Oryzias latipes: one gene and its partner. The protein of the gene in region 1 binds, or shares a complex with, the protein of each later gene. Links are inferred from orthologs where the notes say so. Each region holds a gene or a part of one and is shown on either strand. Other genes may lie near its edges.

The links.
Region 2: ttc25 (region 1) and efcab1 share a complex: the UniProt entries of both Homo sapiens proteins name them as parts of the outer dynein arm-docking complex. The link is inferred for Oryzias latipes from reciprocal best matches to the Homo sapiens genes ODAD4 and CLXN.

The regions. Positions count from the first base shown.
Region 1 is NC_019866.2:5,983,457-5,994,449, reverse strand, and holds ttc25 (tetratricopeptide repeat protein 25), read left to right. Parts: upstream 1-5,893; 5' UTR 5,894-5,986; coding exon 5,987-6,109; intron 6,110-6,195; coding exon 6,196-6,327; intron 6,328-6,394; coding exon 6,395-6,548; intron 6,549-6,635; coding exon 6,636-6,697; intron 6,698-7,626; coding exon 7,627-7,777; intron 7,778-7,874; coding exon 7,875-8,364; intron 8,365-8,443; coding exon 8,444-8,530; intron 8,531-8,605; coding exon 8,606-8,802; intron 8,803-8,883; coding exon 8,884-8,984; intron 8,985-9,057; coding exon 9,058-9,093; 3' UTR 9,094-9,821; downstream 9,822-10,993. Other genes in the region: dnajc7 (dnaJ homolog subfamily C member 7), read left to right, coding at 2,083-2,196, 2,412-2,486, 2,585-2,703, 2,795-2,948, 3,096-3,260, 3,429-3,520, 3,674-3,747, 3,933-4,079 and 3 more. UniProt on the Homo sapiens protein: Component of the outer dynein arm-docking complex (ODA-DC) that mediates outer dynein arms (ODA) binding onto the doublet microtubule. Plays an essential role for the assembly of ODA-DC and for the docking of ODA in ciliary axoneme.
Region 2 is NC_019869.2:21,761,816-21,772,568, reverse strand, and holds efcab1 (EF-hand calcium-binding domain-containing protein 1), read left to right. Parts: upstream 1-5,974; 5' UTR 5,975-6,281; coding exon 6,282-6,348; intron 6,349-6,444; coding exon 6,445-6,603; intron 6,604-6,698; coding exon 6,699-6,803; intron 6,804-6,915; coding exon 6,916-7,088; intron 7,089-7,212; coding exon 7,213-7,317; intron 7,318-7,389; coding exon 7,390-7,440; 3' UTR 7,441-7,590; coding exon of another isoform or gene 7,591-7,653; 3' UTR 7,654-7,738; downstream 7,739-10,753. Other genes in the region: sytl1 (synaptotagmin-like protein 1), read left to right, coding at 33-184, 281-395, 470-521, 610-643, 705-757, 2,051-2,164, 2,283-2,449, 2,528-2,630 and 5 more; rbm48 (RNA-binding protein 48), read right to left, coding at 7,591-7,653, 7,745-8,280, 8,497-8,642, 8,725-8,915, 9,377-9,538; pex1 (peroxisome biogenesis factor 1), read left to right, coding at 9,748-9,855, 10,495-10,641, 10,741-10,753. UniProt on the Homo sapiens protein: Component of the outer dynein arm-docking complex (ODA-DC) that mediates outer dynein arms (ODA) binding onto the doublet microtubule. Seems to regulate the assembly of both ODAs and their axonemal docking complex onto ciliary microtubules.

The DNA of each region.
Region 1 (10,993 bases):
ATAATCAACGCTTTTATCATGGCAGCACAGTGAATTCATAAATAGTCTTTCTAAAGTGTTCATTCGCATTAGGTTTTTATTTCGGGTAATATGTGCCAGTGACGGTGTAATTCTAAGCGGAATTACACGGCTTATTGTTTTCAACTGATTCATAACAAAATGGATTGATATGTATTGACTGTCAAATATGACTTATTCATCTCAAATGATTATTTGACTACATACCGTATTTTCCGGACTATAAGTCGCCCTTTTTTTCATAGTTTGGCAAGGGGTGCGACTTATACTCCGCAGCGACTTATATTAGAAATAAATTGAAATAAATACATTGTTAAACCTCCTGTTATGTTCATTTGTGAGGAACAGAGATGATGTTCCTGGGTCAATTTGATGTATGAGGTATGTTGAGTGTTAAGAGTATATTAAGTGACTCAGAGAATCAGCAAACTTTTTTTTACAGTAAGATCTTGAAGGCTAACAACATAATATTCTATTTTCCAATGATTTCATAGATTCAGAAATGCAATAAAAATGACAACTGTTTCTACAAATACAGGATGAAAACAGAGTATTAGTTGGCCAATGAAAGCTTCATGAAAAGAATAAATAAATAAGTTTGAGAAAGAATTACTGTGAAATTATGAGATAAACAGTCTGCTATGATTGTGTCATATGAGGTTGTGAAAGTTATTAGTTCTTGGTCCCAGATTTTGTCAAATAAATTTCCCATCAAAATGCGACTTATAGTCCAGTGCGACTTATCTGTGTTTTTCTACTTTATAATGCATTTTTGGGCTGGTGCGACTTATACTCCGGAGCGACTTATAGTCCGGAAAATACGGTATTATCTATTATTTATCCATTTAAACTCAAAAGCATATTAGAATTTTTTAATGTGTCTCCTTTCCCAAAAATGCTGTCAGAAGAAAGAGACAAAACATCAAAAACTTTTCAAAAAAACTTAGTGTTTGCACAGAGAATAATGAACAAAAACACAGATAAGTTGCTTGGAGTTGCCTTTGAAAGCATCTACAGTGGGTTTTAGTGCTTTATTAGTCTGTTGGCACCTAAAATATTCTTCTCTTGTTGTCTGTAGATTTTACACATTTCCAGATTTACAAGAACATAGAGATTTTGCTATTACAGATGTATAAAAAATGCCTCACATTTGTTGATGAAGTACTATGGAGGGAGAATCTTTTTGGACACGCATTTTTAATCATCTTTATCTGTTTCGAGAAAAAAAGTTTTTTTCTTGTCCCTGAAATTTGTACATGTTTGACCATCTGGTAACTATTTTTGGATTCTGTCAAGGTGAATGTTCTTGGTTCTTGGAAGATCTTGGTTGCTCCGTTGGGAATCTTTAACACAAAGTAAGGCTGCAGTTCTGTGTGGCCAGAGTTCTAAAGTTCAAGTCCCATTAGTTCTCCGCATTACACTGTGAATATGAACTATAATAAATGTTAATATGAATAGAAATCCAAAGACTACTCGCATTTGCTTTAAAATCCCTAAGCTAGGTCGGTCTACTAGAACCCCAGGATTCCAAAAAGACCTGCCCACCATCCCCTGGGGGAGCGGTGAGCTGCAGACACACTCTGGAATTGTTTGGGGGTTTAACCCCCACTATTGAGCCCTTAATTCTGAGTGTCAAGCAGTGAGACTTTGGGTCCCATTTTTAAGTCTTTGGGATGACTCGGCTGGAAATTTCAACTCACAACTTTCCAGTCTCAAGGCGGACACTCTACCCAAAGGCCACTGAGTAACATTTGCTACAAATCAAACCTTTGCAGGCTAAACACGTTTGATCCAGGTAATCAATGATTAGAGCAGAAGGGTCTGACATAGCGGTGAGGAAACGGATCCTCCAAGACGGGACTTTGCTGCTCTCCGCTTTAGAGTCTTACTTTTTAGTTGTTGGATTTGATGCAGCATCTGTAAACTAGATCAGTTGTTTGTTGGAATGCTACACGTGCAGAACTTTATAAAGTCTTGTTCTCATACGTTTAAAAAAGAGGTATTGTTTGTCTTATATTCTCTAAGCTATTTTAGAAGTGATAATCTCTGATCCTTTTCATACAGGGGCATCTGCGGGAGGGCAAATGCCACCTGTCCCTGGGCAATGCGATGGCTGCCCGACGTTGTTTCCAGAAGGTTTTAGAGCTGGAGCTGGAAAACGGTCAGGCCCAGCAGGAGGTGAGAGAAGCTTTGACTCAGAACCTGCAAATACACGACAGACAGCATTAGAAGGCGTCGAGTTGAGCTGAATTCTCAATGAAATGGCAGCAGATTATCTCTGTGCAGTCCTAGCATGATCTGGAAGAACTGGTTAAGGCAAGAGCACAGGGCAGTTGCATACCTACTGTTAGGTTCTAAGCATTGTCACTGAATACCAGCCTTTCCTTTGGCAGGTGAAGAATGCTGAATCCATTCTGGAGTATGAGAGAATGGCAGAAATTGGTTTTGAGAAAAGAGACTTCAGAATGGTGAGCCCCCCCGATCATTTTCTGTCCTATTTGTTTTCCTTTCGTCTGACACAGTGATTACCGCAATGCTACAAACTGAGTGTTTGTGTTCTCTTAAGGTTGTCTTTTGCATGGATCGTGCCTTAGAGTCAGCCCCAGCTTGTCACAAGTTCAAGATACTGAAAGCCGAGTGTTTAGCCCTGCTGGGACGATACCCAGAGGCCCAGTCAGTGGCCAGGTAAGACGTGTGGTCATAAAACCATCAGTTTATGTTAAACAGAAATAAAATTTCTTGTATTCCCCCCCCCCCCCCCCCTCTTTTAAATCAGTGACATTCTGCGAATGGACTCCACGAATGCAGACGCTCTGTATGTGCGTGGCCTTTGCCTGTACTATGAGGACTGCATCGATAAAGCCGTCCAGTTCTTCGTCCAGGCCCTGCGCATGGCTCCCGATCACGATAAAGCTCGCCTAGCATGCAGAGTTAGTAAATCAAACAAGAGTTTTCACAAACTACTATCTTAAAATGTCAATGTGAGGCATAAGAAAGCATGTTTTAGATGAGTTTACTTCTACATTAGCTTTAAGCACTCTATAGATTTGGTTTCCTTTTTTCTCTTTCATTCCCAGGATGCCAAAGCACTAAAAGCCAAGAAGGAGGAAGGGAACAAGGCGTTTAAAGATGGAAACTTTGAAGCAGCCTATGAGCTTTACTCTGAGGCATTAACAATAGACCCCAACAACATCAAGACTAACGCAAAGCTGTACTGTAACAGAGCCACTGTGGGATCTAAGGTGAGTAACATGACCTACATCTTCAAGATTTTAAACTTTCAGCAAGAGAACAAGAAGATTTTTGGATGCTTGGTGGATGTTTTCCTCTTTCACATCAGTAAGACTTCATTTTCTTCCATATCTACCCTTTTCTTGTTCTAATTTCCACTGTTTTTCTTCCCTTCCAAGCTGAAGAAACTAGATCAGGCCATTGAAGACTGCACAAAGGCCATCAAACTGGATGAGACCTACATCAAGGCCTATTTAAGGAGAGCACAGTGGTATGTTCAATGAAAATGATGCTTTCTACAGGCTTACAGTTATGTTCCAAGCAGATTTTGGACCCTATCAGGCGATAGAAAAATGTCAGTTATTGTTCTTTTGTTCGTGTTTGATATTTGTTAGTAAAAGACTATGAACCAAATGTGTTGCAGCTACATGGACACAGAGCTGTATGAAGAGGCAGTGAGAGACTACGAGAAGGTTTACCAGACAGAAAAGACAAAAGGTGAGAGTGCTTTGTTCACAGTGAGGAGTGTGTCTGTAGAAGTGATATAACAGCATCCTTCCCAAATTTATGCTTGTACGTGGTAAAACCTAAAACCTGTCAGTGTTTGTCCCTGGAAGCTCTTGGCTAAATGTAGCCACAAAAGAAATAATTTGTCTTTTTTTGTCTTTCTTTTTTCTCTTTAGAACACAAGCATCTTTTGAAAACTGCTCAGCTGGAGTTGAAGAAGAGCAAGCGGAAAGATTACTACAAAATACTCGGCGTGGAAAAGAACGCCACAGAGGATGAGATCAAAAAAGCCTACCGCAAACGGGCGCTGTTACACCACCCAGGTTGTTGATTTCTCCCGGCCTTAGAATTAGCCCCGGTGGAACTTGATTACGAAACGAAACGCTGTTTCCTTTTTTCTCCCTTTTAGATCGCCACAGCGGAGCCAGCCCAGAGCTGCAAAAGGAAGAGGAGAAAAAGTTTAAAGAAGTGGGGGAGGCTTTCAGCGTGCTTTCCGACCCTAAGAAGAAATCTCGCTACGACAGCGGGCAGGATCTTGAGGATGACGGCATGAACATGGGAGGTCAGTGTCGGCGGTGGACTCTGGGAAGCTTCTTATGCAGCAGAGGAGTGAGTCTCACGAATCGTTCTTCTGTTCTGTCTCTTCCAGATTTTGACGCTAACAACATTTTCAAGGCTTTTTTTGGAGGCCCAGGAGGTTTTAGTTTTGAAGGTAATTTCTATCTTGTTTATGAAATAAAAAAACACTATCAGTATTTCTGCTATGTGGGTATATTTTAGAATCTGAAATGGATTCTTTTTGTTTTGTTCCTGTGCAGCATCTGGACCTGGAAATTTCTTCTTCCAGTTTGGTTAATTGGAGAACACGTCAACCTATATCTTTACTGAATCAGGACTTTTCGGCAGTGTCGACCCATCAGCTCCACATCGGTTTTGACTTACTGACTGCTCTCCAGATTCCCGTCTATGCCATCCGCTGAATGCAACCCAGCGACCACATGCAGCCATTGATTTATAGCCCGTTCCAGCAACGGCATCAGTGGGTTATGAGCGTTGCTGGTTTCGGATTCAGCGTTCCCCGTTCCAGAACCACTTGGAAAATCAGTGGTGGCTAGAAAGCACTGGCCCAAACCTCACCTCTGGATTTCTATGATGAAGGAGAGGTCCTGCAGCTATTTTATCCCAGCTTTTACAGATCCGTTCAAAAGTGCCATCTTAGGGAAACTCTTTGAGATGTGACTGCAAATTTAGAAAGCTTTTATTTTGCAGAGTGTTCTGCGCGTGAAAGGTAGACACTTGATCGATGCTTTCTGAAAAAGAAATCATGGATCTTGTAGGCGTCTGTCACACATCCAGTGGGGGCTTTGAATTTGAATGAGAACTGCCTCTATAGCCTATAGGATCGCTGGATTCTGTTTGAATTCAGAGAACAGCTGGACCTCTAGGACCCCCCCCCCCCCCCCCACACACACACACACACACACACAAAAAGCACAGCCACTACACACTATGACGATGGAAACATCTGCGCCAGCGTTGATGCCAGCAAAGTCCTCCACTAGTTTTTTCTTTGTTGCCATTCACTAATTGCTGCAATGTACATGTTGCTGGAATGTAAAGTGTTGAGTTGTAATGTCAGGTAATCCTTTCTTTTTTTCACTTTTTATTTTTTATTTTCTTATGTATATTTATTGTCATTTTGATTTCTGATCAACAAAAGGCATCGGATACACGCACTCCTCTGCTGCATAAGAAGCTTCAAAAACGCCATTTATTTCTGCTTGAAAACAAAGCAACACAGTTGTGCTAAAGTGGGTGATGCTGCCTGACTGTGATGATGCCATCAATGGGATTTGACAAAGTGGTTCAATAATGTGAGGTTTTTTTTTTAAGCTGCTGTCTCTGAAATTTTGGCCCAGTGGTTACTGTAACCATAAAATATTACCTCTTGTTGAAGAAATGAAGAGTGTCCTTATCTTTACTTAGGTTTTGCCCTCTCTGGTGAAACAACCAAATCCTCACCTGTGAATAAAACCAGCTGTGTCAATAAAGTTGGCCTTCTCCGGGTTTCCCCTGCATCATTTCTTCCTCTTGTTCTGCTTGTCCTGTCTTCATCGCAGTATCGTTTATTGTTGCACACATTGAACACAAGAGGGCACCCCTTTGCTTTGTTGGTGCAGTTGCTAGGATACCAAGGGACACATGTTGCCTACATCTTGGGGGAGAAAACATGTCGGAGACTCGAGAAGACCTCCAACAGAAAAGGCCACAGAGTTTTTCAACTTTGGTGTCTGCTGGAAAGCAGCTGCTGCACAAGCGGGAATACAGAAGAGCCCAAAGCAGCTTCACTGCGGTGGGTTTGGAACTTTTGTCTTGTTTCACCTTTAAAAAAATGCTCTTTAACTTCTTTTTTTGTTTTGTTTTTTTAACAAACTATAGATATTAGATTTAAAACCAGAGGATAAGGAATGCTTGATCGGACGGTCCAACTGTTATCTAAACACGGGTCAACTCCAGAACGCCCTGAGGGATGCTGAGCTGTCCCTCAAACATGACAAGTCCTTTCCTGAGGTAACCGCCGATGCAAAGGTCCCACCTGAAGGCCGAGTGGAGCTTTACTTTTTATTTATTTTTTCAGGGGGTCTACCAAAAAGCTAAAGTTCTGTTCTACATGGGAGAATTTGAATTTTCGTTGGTGTTTTACCACAGAGGACAAAGCATTCGCACGCAGATGCAGTGCTTCACGCTGGGTATCAAGAAAGCTCAGGAGGCCATTAAAAACGCAGTTGGTGGTAATAAGGAACTTCAAAAAAACTTTTCCTAATATAAAATAATTTTTTTTAACATAAATTGCACTTTAATCTTTTTTTTTCCTGCAGATTCCACCAATGTCAAACTGAAGGTTGGAGGAGACTTGTCATTTCTTGAGAATGAGGAGGCGGTGAGTTTTAAAGATTGAAAAATTTGTACACTTGAGGTGTATTTTATGAAGTACAAGTATAACAATTATACTACAGATCGGGGGTCTGCAACCTTTAACGCTAAAAGAGCCATTTGGGCCTATTTCTCATGGACCAAACCCCAGAGAGCCACCGAGTACCACTACACATTTTAGAAAATACACTTTATGCTTTGGTGGCCATTTATTTGCACTTTAACTTATTTTAGTTTTGACAGCAGCACATGCAATTTCCTGTCAAAATAAATCCTGTGGCATCCTGTGCCAAATAAGATCCTCCTGCTGCAGCAGATTTACTGTAATTAAATGTGTAATTTAACTTTACACTTTGACTTTGATGCACCGTCATCTTTTACTCTCCTTTTACTATCAGTTATAAACATCACACAATGGTGCAGAATCCGATTTAACACAATATAAAAACTGTAAACATTAAAAAATAATGAATCACTCTGAAAGTAAAACTAAACCTTTTTCCACCATTTTACTCAGTTATTTGACACATAAACATACATGGAAAAACTTAAATAAATAAAAAGTTAAACAAAACCGAAACTGCAAGTTGCAGCTCCTTTATATTTCTTTAGACTAAATTGGAACATTTTAAGTTAGTATATTTATGTTTATAGAAAGTATAAATAAACTTCCAGTATACTGCCTCACTTTTAGTAAAGACTAAGTAGTACTTTTGATTATACTACTTTTTGCACAATGACATTTTTTTTTTCTTATCAAATCAACAGCACAAAAACCACCTGCTTTTTTATGCTGTTTTCTTTAAAGCTGACGACTCCAAAAAAGAAGATGACTATATTAGTATGTTTGTTTGTTTTATTTTCTGAAAAGGAGTTGCATCTTGCTGCATGTCATGTTAATGACACTCTTCCTTTATGCTGTTGTAACTTGTTAAGAGGTTACGGCCAATCAGTGTCGTTGAGAATCTGATGGAAGAGGAGAAAAATGAGGCTCCAAAGTCCTTCAGGATCGAGAAGGCAACCAAACATCTGATGGGGGATTTTGTCGACCATAAAAAGTTTCTTGAAGACCTGATGAAAGATGAAGGTACTGTGCGGATCAAGTCCCTGCACTTCAGTTTCACACAAGACAAAGTTCTCTTGTTAATCCTTTGGGGGGTTTTTTTCAATTCAATGATCTGCAGATTTGATGAAGGAAAAGACAAAGAGTGGAGAACAAGTACAAGACATAATTCAGGACAGCCTCGTTTCAATTGAGACCTATATAGAGATCTGTAACCAAGAAAATATAGTCGCCCCCCAAGAAAAGAAGCCTCAGCATCAGGAGGTTAAGCATTCCACGACTTCTAAGTTTAAGGAGTTCCCGCTGAAGACCCTCCGAGAAATAGATGCAGGTACATCCGGTCAACAATATTTCCTGTTGGTCATTTTAGAGGAAAAAATATACTTTTTCTTTTGGATTTTAGCGCTGGAATCTGGAAATGCAGAAAATAGCCTCAAGAAGGCGAAAGGAGTCCTGAAGTTTGTAGAGAGGCGGTCAAAGACAGAGTTTCCCCATAAAAAGCTGCTTCTGGGCAGTTTGCACAGCTCTATTGGAAACGCTTTGCTTTACCAAGGAGAACTGGACAAGGCCTTGGAGCATCATCAAAAGGAGCTTGATTTGGCAGAGCAATGGTGAGGAAAGTCCACAAAAATAGATGGAACTGTTTTTAACAGACAACAAAAAAAAATCTTTTTTTTTTTTTACCAACAGCAAACTTCCAGAAGCAAAATCCAGGGCTCTAGATAACTTAGGGCAAACATATGCTCAAAGTGGAAACTTTGCAGAAGCAATTGAGCTGTAAGTAAAAAAAAAAAAAAAACTATTTTGTGAAATAAGACTGAATATTTATGGTTATTTCCATTCAACATTCAGATGGAAGAAGAGGATTCCTTTGGTCCCCAGTGGTTTGGAGAAAGTCTGGTTGTTGCATGAGATCGGCTGTTTTTACTTGCAGCTTCATCGCTATGAAGAAGCCAAAGAATACGCCATCCTTTCTGTTGCCGAGGCAGCTGAGATCCCAGATGTAAAGTGGAAGATGAACGCCAGTGTTCTGATGGCACAGTCAGAATGTAAAGGATCTTCATCTTTTGGAATTATTACATTGTAAATACTTTATGTTTGACTATAGTTTACTTTTTTTCTCTTTAAAGTGAGGCTTGGAAATTTCAAATCGTCAGTGTCCCATTTTGAAACGGCTTTAGTTCATGCCAGACTTCAAGATGATGACTCTGCCCTGAATGCCATCCAAAAGGTTCCCTCTGCTTTTACTTGATTTCAGTTATTTACTTTTTAAAAAATTCTAACTCTAAAGTTTGTGATTGCAGGCTCTTGAAGAAGCAAAGCAACACATCAGAAAGTGAAGACTTCTTCAGTGGTACAATGCAAAGAAATGACCGTCATCAACATTGTAGCTTCTACAATCTTTTTCAAAATGTCAAAATTTTCTGTCTGCTCCTGATTCACTAAGATTTGAATAAAGAAATACTTAGAAATATAATTTTTATTATTAATATCCTCAATTATCAGAAAAATGCTACAAAAACATGTAACTTGAGAGTTGGTCTTTGTTATTTAGTTTATTCTGCAAACTAAAATCTTAGTTATAACTCAAGTCTTCAGTGGTAACTGATGTGGAAATAATGTTTACGTAAAGGACTCAAAAATTCACTTTTTTCTTGTCTTTTGGAATTTTGCAAAGATTTGTGCCACAATATTGTCTCTGTAGTAATTTTAGAAAAAAAGGCGTGCAACCTTTTATGCTCAGTGGCCACTTTCACAAGTTATAAATAAACAGTTTTTAAGTCACAACATTTCTGCTACTTTCAATATACTCTTATGTAATCCATTACAGTTTGAGAAGGAGACACTTGCAGTGGGTTGTCTGTTATTTGTGATCTGATATGTACAGATTTACATGCATCTGACTGCCATTAAGTCATGCTCAAAGTGTCACTGGACATTTATTTTGTTGGAAATGTACATATCTCAAAATTCAACATTCTCTTTCATTCCTCTGACTTAACCCCTGTGCTATCCTAGGCACTTTAACGTTGGGAGTTGGGTCATCTAGACCCACTAGACAGTGCTCTGAACCTTTTTTCTTCAATGATTTGGGATCTTCACTGGTGTCCATGGATTACATAAAATCTTTCCACCTTTATCCACCTTTGTCATGGTAGGGAGAACATGTCAATGCACAAGGGTTAAAAACAGGTTCACATTCTCTGTAAGTGTGCAAATCACTTGTTTGTATGTTGTGTGCGAAGATTATTTTGGAACAATGAAAGCAGGTGTGCTTTACCAGAGCTTATTTTCATGTGTTGAGTTTCCTGTGAACCAGCGCTTGTTTATTTTTAACATGAACCTTTTTTTAAAAAAAAAAAAAATAGCAGAAACTACCACTATTTTTGATTTGAGCATTTTTCCACACCCTCAAAAAATTCTTGACTTGCTGATGCTGCAGTTATTATTCTGGTTGATAGAAGAAGTAACATCTAAACATTTGCATGAGCTGTTGGGAAGCTGCTTCACCAAAATTGGATAAGTAAATTATCGTTCTATAAATAGAGTTCTAAAATCATTAGTGATTAAATGTATTTATGCATATAGGGCCTTTCTTTAGAGAACGATTTTTAGTCTCTATTTTTCAAAAGAATTTAACAGTCAGTTGGCTCTAATGGATTTCAAGTGAGGCAACATTTGGCTGCTTTACCTATTTAAATCATTATTGAAATAATGCATCCACAATCAAAGATACAGTAGTAGGTCGCCAATGCTTTGAATTCTTATTCTTTTTGGCTCCGGTTAAGTGTTGACATGCAATCGATAAATAATACATCACAGATCTTTATTGCACCCAAATAACAGTTTTTCTTGTATAGATCTTAGATGATTGGGTTAGCCTGAAACAGGCATGTCCAAAGTCTGGCCCATGGGCTAAATGCAGCTCATGTTCAAAATTGTACCAGCTACAAGCTGCTTGAAATGGATTTGCTAAATTACATTTTACACTAGTTTACCTGTGACAACAGCCTGTGGCTACTTGTCCTTCAGAGCCTTAATGGCCAGATCCAAAAAAACAAATGTATTGGTTTCTGTGACCAAAACCACAGAGGTTTTACTTCTGAAGAAGATACAGATTTGTGTCGTTTTCCTGTTTCCACGACTTCAATGTATAAGTTTATATTAATATGTAGCATTTCATATGAACCACATTTATGGTGGATTTTTTTTTTTAGACAGACTTTTTCATTACTTCAG
Region 2 (10,753 bases), on another chromosome or scaffold:
TGAATCCCACTGTTTGTCTTTCAATGCTGCAGGATCCTGGAGCAGACAGGGACAAACCCATCTTTTCTGCGGCTGCTGTCCGGGCGCTGGTTTAAGGAGGAGTGCAGCAAGCGCCATAACAGCTGGACGTCGGGCAGCGACCTCATCCGGGCCTCCATACGCCACAGAAAGACAAAGAGCAGAGGTCAGGTTCCAGTAAATGCGCTCGCCTGCCGAGCCGTGTTACGGCTGTTGTGGGGAAACCTCAGCAATGGTTCTGTGGCTGTTGCCATGGCAACAGATGTATCTCTGCAGGAACTGTTTGATGGAGAAAGACGGGAATCTGTTGCTGGCAGCGGTTCTCTGGAGGCAAAGGGGAGACCGAAGGACTGCAAAGACAAGGAGCAGGATGAAGGGTGGGTATCTGTCACAATCAGACCACTAATGCGACATTTGAAAATTTGATTCAGCTTCTCTTCTGTTCTTTCAGGCCTCATGGAAACTCGGCACACACAGCCAGACATCAAATTCCTGGCATGCAGGTGTGTGTGAAAAATCTTGTGTTTGTTTCCCATCCTTTCAAGTGTACTCAACCATCTTAATACACCAATCAATGATCTTCAACTACAGGAGAACAGCAGTATTAATACCTCACACTCCAAAGGTATGAACGTGTCTTTCCTGATATCTTTGCTTGCGACTCTTTTTACATAATAAACATGTAGCTGTGCCAATAGGATATGAAAGGAGAAGTAATGGCCACCCAGGGAAATACGAGGTGATCACGACGCACGCACAGACCAACACCCCCCCCCCCCCACACACACACACACACACAGGATCTTAACTAATGGTTTGGCAAACATCTACTCTGAGTGCCACCCTTGGGCCACAAGCTCTAACCAAATATTTGACATTATGCAAGAGGAGGATTCATTCAAACCTGTTTTCGCTCAATGCGTTACATTATTATGCTTCAGTTTCATGTTCATCAGATGTACCCAGCTCACTGGATAGAAATAACCAAACCTTAAAGTTTGAGGAACTCCGTAAACAATCTGTCTAGAAAAAAAAATACATCAATGAGGGAAAGAGATATAAAATCATATCTTAGGAACATTTTCTTCCTAGAAGAAGGTTGAAAACAGATTTGGTTTTGCAGCCAAAATGATCAAGAAGGAAATCTAAATCTTTATGCATCTTCTGCAGAGGTGGGTGAAAAAAATGAAGCTGCAAGCAGCACTGAAAGGAGCTGAAGCCCAAAGAAAAATGCAAGCTCCCTTTTTCTAAAGCTGCATTGTTGAACTGATGGTGTGCTCTCCAAAGGCTCACTTGTAATTAGCAAGAACGCTGATTAAAACACGAGCGTTGTTTTTTTCCAAATGCAAGGGGAGCGATCTGAAACTGTTTTCTGATTCTGCAAGAGTAGCTGCAGATCAAGTCAAATTTTTTGGAAATTTTGTCCAAATGAGTGTGATATTATGGAGATATTACTTTTACCTTTGTAATTTTATCTTTGTTTCTCAGAAAAGCTGCCAAAAATCTTCTACAATTTATGACGTTGTTCACATTTTAATGTGTTATGAATCCAGTGTTTATTAAAGTTCAAAAAGAAATGTGCATGACTAAAAACATTGATTTGTGTATCTAAAGTGCAGATTGGGACTCCAAATATTTTCTTTGGACCTCAGGCTAACTCCAACTGACCTTTATCAGTTTATTGGAGAGCATCTGCTGGACCAGAAAAAAGAAAATAATAGAAAGCAAACACTAAACCACATAAATACCTCTGCAGAATCAGTTAAAGCAGCTGCTTCTCCCCAAAAGCCACGAAGTGCATACAATATATTTATTGATAAATATATAAATTGAGAGATTGTTTATGGTTTTGTATAATTAGTATTCTGAATCATTGTGCTTTATTAATTCATAATACGCATACAATTTAAAATAAAGAAAAAAATAAAAGTACATCTTATCATTTCTCAAATGACTACATATGTTTGTTCAATTAAATGGCTTTTTCTGAGTGAACATATGTGAGTACAGTTGTGTGTTTGTTTGAGTGCAGGAAGATTTGAGTCACAACAGGGACCCAAACTCTCTGAGCATCAGCCTGACAGAACAAGATCCATCCTCCCTGAATACCAAGAGCTCCACCAACAGCCTTCAGTCGAGCTACACGGTACACACACGAACGCGCATGCACGCACACACATTTGTCAAATCCACTGTCTGGCGACGCAAGATGACTCAGCTCTGGACACTGACGCAGGAGCTGATCTTTGCTGTTTGTGTTACAGCTCAGTGGGAGCATGATGAGTCTGTTCAGCTCGGGGGATTTCGGGGTGGTGGAGGTGAGGGGCCGCATCCAGTACTCATTGGTTTACGACGATCACAAGGAGGAGCTCCAAGTGAAGGTGTACTGCTGCGAGGACATCGCCTCGGCGCGCAGGAACCGCTCTGATCCGTGAGTGAAAGGGTGTGCGTGAAACTGGCAGCGTCCCTCAGATCCACTCCGTGAAAATGGTGCTTGTTCATTTCACAGATACGTAAAGACTTATCTCCTGCCAGACAAGTCCCATCACAGTAAGAAGAAGACTTCGGTGAAGAAGAAGACACTGAACCCAGTCTATGACCAGACCCTCAGAGTGAGAGCATCCCGTTTGCATGTTGCATAAAACATTAGCATTTGTCGTTTATCTTTCAGCTCTGTGGCTGTCATCGCAGTGATTAGTCATGCATATTGAAAAAAAAACAACACAGCTACTATTCACCTTTTATGTCTCATAACTCAAGGTCATTGGAGTCTTTCTTTTTCTGCACTCTTCAAGTATAAAGTGCGTGCAGGGGAGCTGCAGAGTCGAACTTTAAACCTCTCTGTGTGGCATGCCGAGCCCCTGGGGAGGAATATCTTTCTTGGAGAGGTGGAGGTGGCTCTGGGGCTCTGGGACTGGACCTGCACACAGCCACTGTGGCAGGACCTGCAGCCACGGGTGAGCACCCTGATGACTGGCATTGACGTAAACTCATACTCAGTCAGGTCCTCTATTGCATGTGCGAAACCTCCTTCGGGTATAATTACCAAGCGACTGTGAAGCCTCCATCTTCATTTGTTCTGCAGCTGTCGTTTTGACAGCTTTGTTAGAGACGAGGCGGGGAGGAGTGTGTGGGGGGGCTGAGGAGAAGCAAAGACACGCTGTGAATTTTAACTAAGCTTTTTGGGTTTTTTTAAACGCAGCATTAATCTCCAGCTCTCGAGTCTGTCTCCACTTCCTTCTCTTTGTCACAAACTTCTCCCGTTTGCACAGATATACCTGAACCCAGACTGTGTTAGCAGCAGAGGGAAAATCTTGTTCTCGATTAAATTTGTTCCAGATGGATTTGAAGGTGAGCAGAAAGTACGTTTTACCCAACGCCACACGACTGTTCACTGTTCACCGGGTGTGTGTGTTCAGGTGGGGGTCTGCCTCTGACCGGGGAGGTTCACATTTGGCTTCGGGAGGCTCAGGGTTTGGTGTCCCACAAAGGAGGCCCGATTGACTCCTTCGTTAGAAGGTGTGTCACCTCCGCTGCACCTTTCCTCACTTTTTTTGCCAAGACTATTTAAATACTCTGAGAGATCCTTCCTTTATGAGTATCCTTTTTTAGTCCTGTGTTTAAACTTAGAAACTTTTTTTATCCAATTAATTTGAAATGTTTTATATATATTTGTGAAATCGCATTAAAAGGTTTGAGACATTTTGGCTAAATCGAGAAATATCAAGTGATGATCTTTAATTAGTGAAGTAACAACAGAAATCCAATGAAAGCTTTTGATACTATCTGTATTTTTTTGTGAAAATTAATATAAAGAATAAAAAAGTAAAACCGTGGAAATCACTTCTTTGTTTTGTTTGTTTTACCTCTCCACCCACAAGTTACATTCTCCCAGACGCTAGTCGACAGAGCGGTCAGAAGACGCGGGCGGTGAAGCGCAGCATCAGTCCTGTTTACAACCACACAATGGTCTACGACGGATTCCAGCCCAGCGACCTTGTGGAGGCCTGTGCCGAACTCACCGTGTGGCAGCGCGAAGGGCTAAAGATGCACATGCTGGGGGGGATTCGTCTGAGCTACGGAACTGGTGAGAATCCACTCCAGACGCAGCGTTATGTAACTAAGAGAAGCTGCTCTTACGCTTATTAACAAGAAATTGCACTAAACATAACAGGGAACCGAGTCTACATTTGTTGCTCATTTTAAACCCTGAAACTACTTAATACAACATCTCGTGTTTGTCTTCTGGTGGTCTACAAACAAGGGTGTAGCGGGCCTTCCTCTATTATCAGATTTATCGCCATTCATAAACAGTTTAGTGTTTGTTCTGCAGTGGGGTGCTGGAGCTACACAGTGGCATTTCAGCAATTTAGATAGCCTTGTTGCAAGAGGGAGGTCATGTCACAGAGTTATGTTGTGAAAAAGTGTTTCTTTGTGGATTCCTGTCTTTTTACGATTTACAAAAGCAGCTTTTATTTAATGTGTGTAAGTTGTAGCATGCATAATTAGCAGTGTATTTTTGTTTAGCAGCATTGACAGTTAAATTGTTTTGCTTATAGTTTTACTGTGGTTCACACCTCAAAATCTACTGGGCGTGGGAGTATTTTACATTTGGAGCTATCTCAAAATGTTTCATATCCATTTATTATTCTTTAGGCAGCTGCAGTACAATATTGCAGCCATTTTGAGGTTTTGAAAATGAAACAATTTATCTGTTCATCCGAAGCCTTTTCTGGTTACTTAGGAGCTATGCTACTGCAAAGGTTATGGAGATAAACACAATGGTAAAAGGATACTGAGGTTGGAGCTGCCAGGAAAGAAGCCAAAGAGGAAACTGACTGAGGTAGTGAAGGGGGTGCATGAGGGTGGTTGATGTGAGAGAGAAGGATGTTGAGGAAAAGATCAGGTGGATGCAGATTCACTGTGTTGACCCCTGAAAGGGAGCAGCTTGAAGAGGGTGAAATGCTAATGCCTCTATTAAGTGTTCTGAACTTTAACCTTCTTAAAAAAAACGGAAAAATTCCTGGAAAATAACAGAATTTTCAGACTCTGTTCTCCATAATGCTGAGTTCTGACTGAGTATACGAACATCAGTTATTCAACAATAAAGATTAGGGAAAAATTCTGATTACCATTAAATTGAGAGACATGTTTGTTTGATGAAGATTACAAAAAATATTAGAAAAAGAACCACATAAAATTTTTCAACAAACAATTTTATCTTTGCTCTAAATTCATCTCTTGAATAAAGTGTTTCATTAAATCTTAATGCTGATTTTTGTCCTAAATATTTTACTGCTGAACACTTTTGGTTGTTTCTATGATAAAATAAAAGTTTTTATTTGATTTTAAGATATATCTTTTTAAACAGTGGCTCAATTTGAATTGCTAGGACAAAGCTAAGGGGAGCCAGTCAGCTGGATGGACTCAACAGAAGAGGAAATTGCAGTTTGGACCGCCATGATTGAAAATCCAAACCACTGGATCGACTCGACACTAACAATCAGAGCTAACCTCACACAGCGCTCTGTGTGACTTGCACATTTGTTGGAGTTTATAAATCTTTGGACTGGAAAAAGAACCTCTCATTTATTCATATCTGTTGCACATTACATTCTTATTTATCATTTCTGACACTAAAAGCGTCTTAAAATTTGAATTTTTGAGATTAGATAGATACTTTGTTGGAACTTTTTAATTTTTTTTTGCTCAGTGTGTTTATTCTGCCATAAAAGATCTTATGATGTATTGTAATTTATCAGTTTGTCATTAAACCTAACTGGTGATACAGTGTTTTGATGTATTGACCTCGACTACGTGAAAAAGCAAAATATTAATCAGTTCAACTTTCTTAAGGGGGACTTTAAACTATTTTTTCAAAAGAAATGCATTTCTATACTATGTAATGTGAAATATCCCTCAGATAAACACACCATCCAGGGAAATAACACGTTTTCCTATATTTTGTGTTCATCCAGCAGAGGGCAGTGTCACAACAGGAAACGACTTTCCTTCAAAATAAAGTACCTTGTTGTGGCTTCGTGACAGAAATTCTACTAAACAGACAGAGATAGGGAGTTTCGTAACAACGACACTGTATAAACTACATGGTTTTGTTTTTTGTTTGTGCTTTACTAAAACATGTGTAATCTAATTTCCTCCTCTTGAACGTAACGGTTCGACGTGTTGACGTCAGACGTTTATACGTGTTGTCATGGTGAAGCAGATAAAACGGTTCTCCATTTCATGCAAGTTGGTTAAAAATGTCATCAGCCAGTAAAAAAGCGATACAGGCCCTCGCGGAAACAATCTCCAAAAAAGTGGAACACTGTGAGTATAATTTTAAAAACATTTAAACTTTTAATTATTCGTGTGACCATTCAAACAGTCAGAACATGATGTTTAAATGAGCTTTTTCATTTCAAGTTAATAAAAAAGAGGTGGAATGTCTTATCTGGAAGTTCAATGCACTTCTGGAGGCGCAGAAACATTCTGATGGTTCGGTTTCGGGTCTGGACAGAAACCAGTTCAAAGTGGTTCTACACAACCTGTTCGAGATGACCGACGACTTCATCATGGATAGAGGTACTATTAGTCACAAGCCTAAGTATTACATTGTAAAGTTTGCTACATCTGTCCTACTATTGGAAAAGTGTCTGCAATTTATCAAACCTTCTCAGTCTTCAGGATATTTGACAAGGACAATGATGGATTTGTCACTGTGGAAGAATGGATCCAGGGACTGTCTGTTCATTTTTGGGGCACTCTGGATGAACAGAAGAAATGCAAGTTCCCCACAGCATGTTCCTTCCTGCTTCTTAAGCACTACTTCTCACACAAATGAGGGAATGCACACATATTTAGCCCATAAGGCCTGTCTTTTCTCCCCCCCTGCAGACTGCTTTCATATGTATGACTTGAAAGGCAGCGGATTTATCACGAGAGACGACATTTTTCTCTTGCTGAAGGACAGTTTCCATCTGCGGCTTGAAGAGGAAGGCAGAGAAGACGACTATCAAGATGAACAGGATGAGATCAACGAACTGATGGAAATTGTCCTCAAAAAAATGGTGAGATGTTGCCCTCCCATCTGCCTTTGTCACATTTGGATCGATGTTGATTGTAAGAATTTTGTCTTGATGTGTGCAGATTTATTTTGGTAACATGCCAACATTGCTTCCTGTGATTCCACAGGACCACGACAAAGACGGCAGGCTGTCTTTTCAAGATTTTGAGAAGTCTGTAAAAAAGGAGGAGCTACTCCTTGAAGCCTTTGGAAGCTGCCTGCCCAATTTCAGGGTAATCACAACCAAAAGTTGCTGAGCTTAAAAATATTGTAAGGATCTATTTAACTTAAATCTTTCTTTTTAGACAAAGAAGAAGTTTGAGCAGCAAGTACTGGAAAAGCAGCAAGATGAATAATAAAATATGAAGTGCAAGCGGTGTTCAACTTTGAGACTTTCATGAAAGAAAAAGCCAAAATGTTTTTCTTAAAGTACAATTTTATTTTAAGTTGAGCCTTTCAACGTTAGTTTTGATAAATATGGACAGTCGTCACTAAAACAGAATGGATCATATCCGACGGCGTGGCTTAACCTTCTTCTCCGCTGGTTTGAGGTCTGGGACCGATGTCACCTAGGAATGAATGAAAAGAATGAGACTGAAATGCACCAATATGGCATCATGTCAAGCTCTAATTCTCATTAAAAAAAAAATAAAAGACTACCTGCTTCATTGTGCCCCTGATCAGATTTACTGTTGTGTTTAGCGACTGATCATTCATGTCCAGCTTATGTGGTTCTGGTAGTTTTGGTCCAATCAAAGACGGTTCTCCAGAATCAGGCACTGGCTGTTTTGTGGCCTCCTCCATTTTGCGGCGTTTGTTCTTTTCCAAATGTGCAGTTCTTGGAACAAGCTTGACGGAAGAATCTGGGTTGGAGGCCAATTTTTTTTCGGAATTAGGGTCTTTACTGAAAGAGCTAAAGTTCTGGACTTTCTGCTGTTTTACGTCAGGAGGCACTGCGTCATGTAAAGTCCCCATTTGATCTTCTGTTGGTTCGTTCCCACGATAATCCTGATGAAAGTATTCCTGCGGGGGTAAAGGCAGTAGAGGAAATCCGGAACAATGGCTGAAGCTTGAAGTCTCGCCTGTTTTGTCACTATTGAAGATTGGATTATTTGTAGCAAAAACTCTGCTTGATGTGGGAACGCTTTCTGAAGACGTAGATTCCATGTGTACCGCATCCGCTACTCTTTCTTTTGCTGTATAAACATGAAACAGATAAATGACACTCATCAAATTCTTTATCTATACTTTAAACTTACAAAACAACAAAAAACATTTGATTTCAGATAAAAATACACAAAAAAAATTTTTTAATCACAGTTTTTTTTCATTGAACTTTTAAAAAACAATTACCTAAGAAAAAAAAGATTCAGTGCTTTTCAACACCGTATATCGTCAAAATGCGATAATACCTCTACTCCGAGCCACTTTCAGAACATAACTTCTCCTGTCCTGCAGCTTTAACTTGGTGTCTTCCACAGACTCGTACTCCGGGACGTAACACACATGCAGCACGCCGCCATAGAAACTCTTCTCATCCATGTTACGTTTCGCCGCTCTGGAACATCAAATATCAACCTGAATGACATATTTTTCAGCATTTCTGGTTTAGGGCAGTACAGTTAAGGTGCCCGCCATACCTAGCACTTGTCAGTTTTTGAAACTTGACCAGGTAGACTTCTGTGAACTCCTCAGCAGGATACTCGTCCAGCGGTCTGTATTCCTCCACTGTTCCATAAAGAGCACACAACTGGATCAGCTCCTCCATCACTCCAATAGCGGGGACTCCCTGGATCATCACATAACGGGACTCTAAATTTATTGTGTAGACCTGGCAGATACAAAGGCATGGTTATTAGTATATGTGAGGCTGTTGACGTGACCAATAAAAATCAATTAACTTAAAGACATAATCATCAGATCTGATGTACTTTCCTGCAACTCAGAAATCCAGTCTACTGTATTAGAAATTTGATTTTTATGGTTTATTAATTACAATTTTTTCGAAATGACTCAAACTTTTTACCATGTCTTTTATTTAATTTTATTTATTTATTTTTGCCAAAACGACAGTTTTATTTGTTTTTTTAAGACCTGCCGTTGGTCTTTTATTTATCACTTGCTGTGTGACTACAATTTATACTTTTTTCTTCCAGTTAAAAAAAAAGATTTTAAAATTTTCTCTTACATTCTTAAATGTAAAAATAAAACCAACTTACACATAATTATTAGCTCGTCGCTTGCGTCAACACAGACCGTCTTTGCTACAAACATTAGAAACGTTTTTCTTACCTTGACTGCTTTAGCTCTCCTTCCATCTCTATATTTGGGTCTAGAAAAACATGCGTTGTGTTGTTCGTGATGTTTGTAGACTTCTGGGACCTTCCAACAACCAGGTTTACTGTTGACATTTGCCGCCATGTTTGCTGAAACGCGTTTCCGCTTTGGTGGCATTTCAAAACAAGAGTTCATTCCGTTGTGCAGAGCACTCAACGTGTAGTGTTGACGACGTGGCAGTCTTATTTTGAAATGATCGATTCCATCGACAATCGACTGTTTTGTCTGGATCAGTTCTCTCATTCATCGAAATGTTTGTTGCACTTTGGCCGTTAGCGCACCAGCATGTTAAGCACTTTAAATGCTAAAATAGCGATGTAAACGTCATGTTTAGCAACCAGGGAATTCAACCAGTATGTGTTGTTTTTAACAACACTAAAAACTGCTTTATTCAACTCTCTTCAAAGCTGATATCGCACCTTTCTCTGAATGAGGTAAAGTATTAGCTAATTACTTAACATCGCTTCAGTTTTGTTGCATAAAGTTTACTGAATAATGACTGCTTTTGTGTTTTACACATTGCTGGTTTGTTTCTCTGACATTACAAGGGGACCTTTGGTTGCATTTAAGGTTTTAGTTTTTCTTAATTAAAACTTATAACAAAAGCAGAGCATTTTTTTATTATCACGTGTACTTAATTAGTATTAGGAAGTAATGCAAGGCAACAAAAAATGAATTGTTGGTAAAAATAGAAATTGGGCATCAAATACTGTCCTCATTCAGGGGTCTTTAGTCTAAAGGAAACTGCATTGTTTTGATTTTTAACACATTAACTCCTAGAAATAGTTTAATTTAGAAAAGGTTGATTATTATAATAACTAATGTGATCATCTCAATATTTCTATATTTTGCTACCACACCTGTGGAATATTTTTGCAATTTTTTAATTTAATTCTTCTGCTGAGCATAAAATCTGAAATGTATGTAATGATACAAAATGTACAAGAATAAAAACTAATAAAGGTATCACAAGTATCTAACATTCATAAAGTTGGAATCATAATTTCGACATCCGCTTTAAGAGACCATTCTGTGTCTTATTTCATCGTCTCTCTTTGGCCGGTCCGTTTTAGAATCAGGCTTTGGAGCTGTCTTGGGACGGCGGGTCGACAGTGTTCCTTAGCTGGTGTCCCATCAGAGCCTCCTTAGGAGCAGACAGCCACAGAGTGGAGTTGTCTCGGCAGCTTGGAGAAAAGCTCGGTTTGACTGATGGAGAACAGGTAAAGACCTTGGTTTCTTCCTTTAGGTCATCAACTGGGACGAACACTGCCTGTGCAACAGTCTCTTAACATTGGTCTGACATTGAGTGGTTTTCACAGTGTTTTCTCAGAC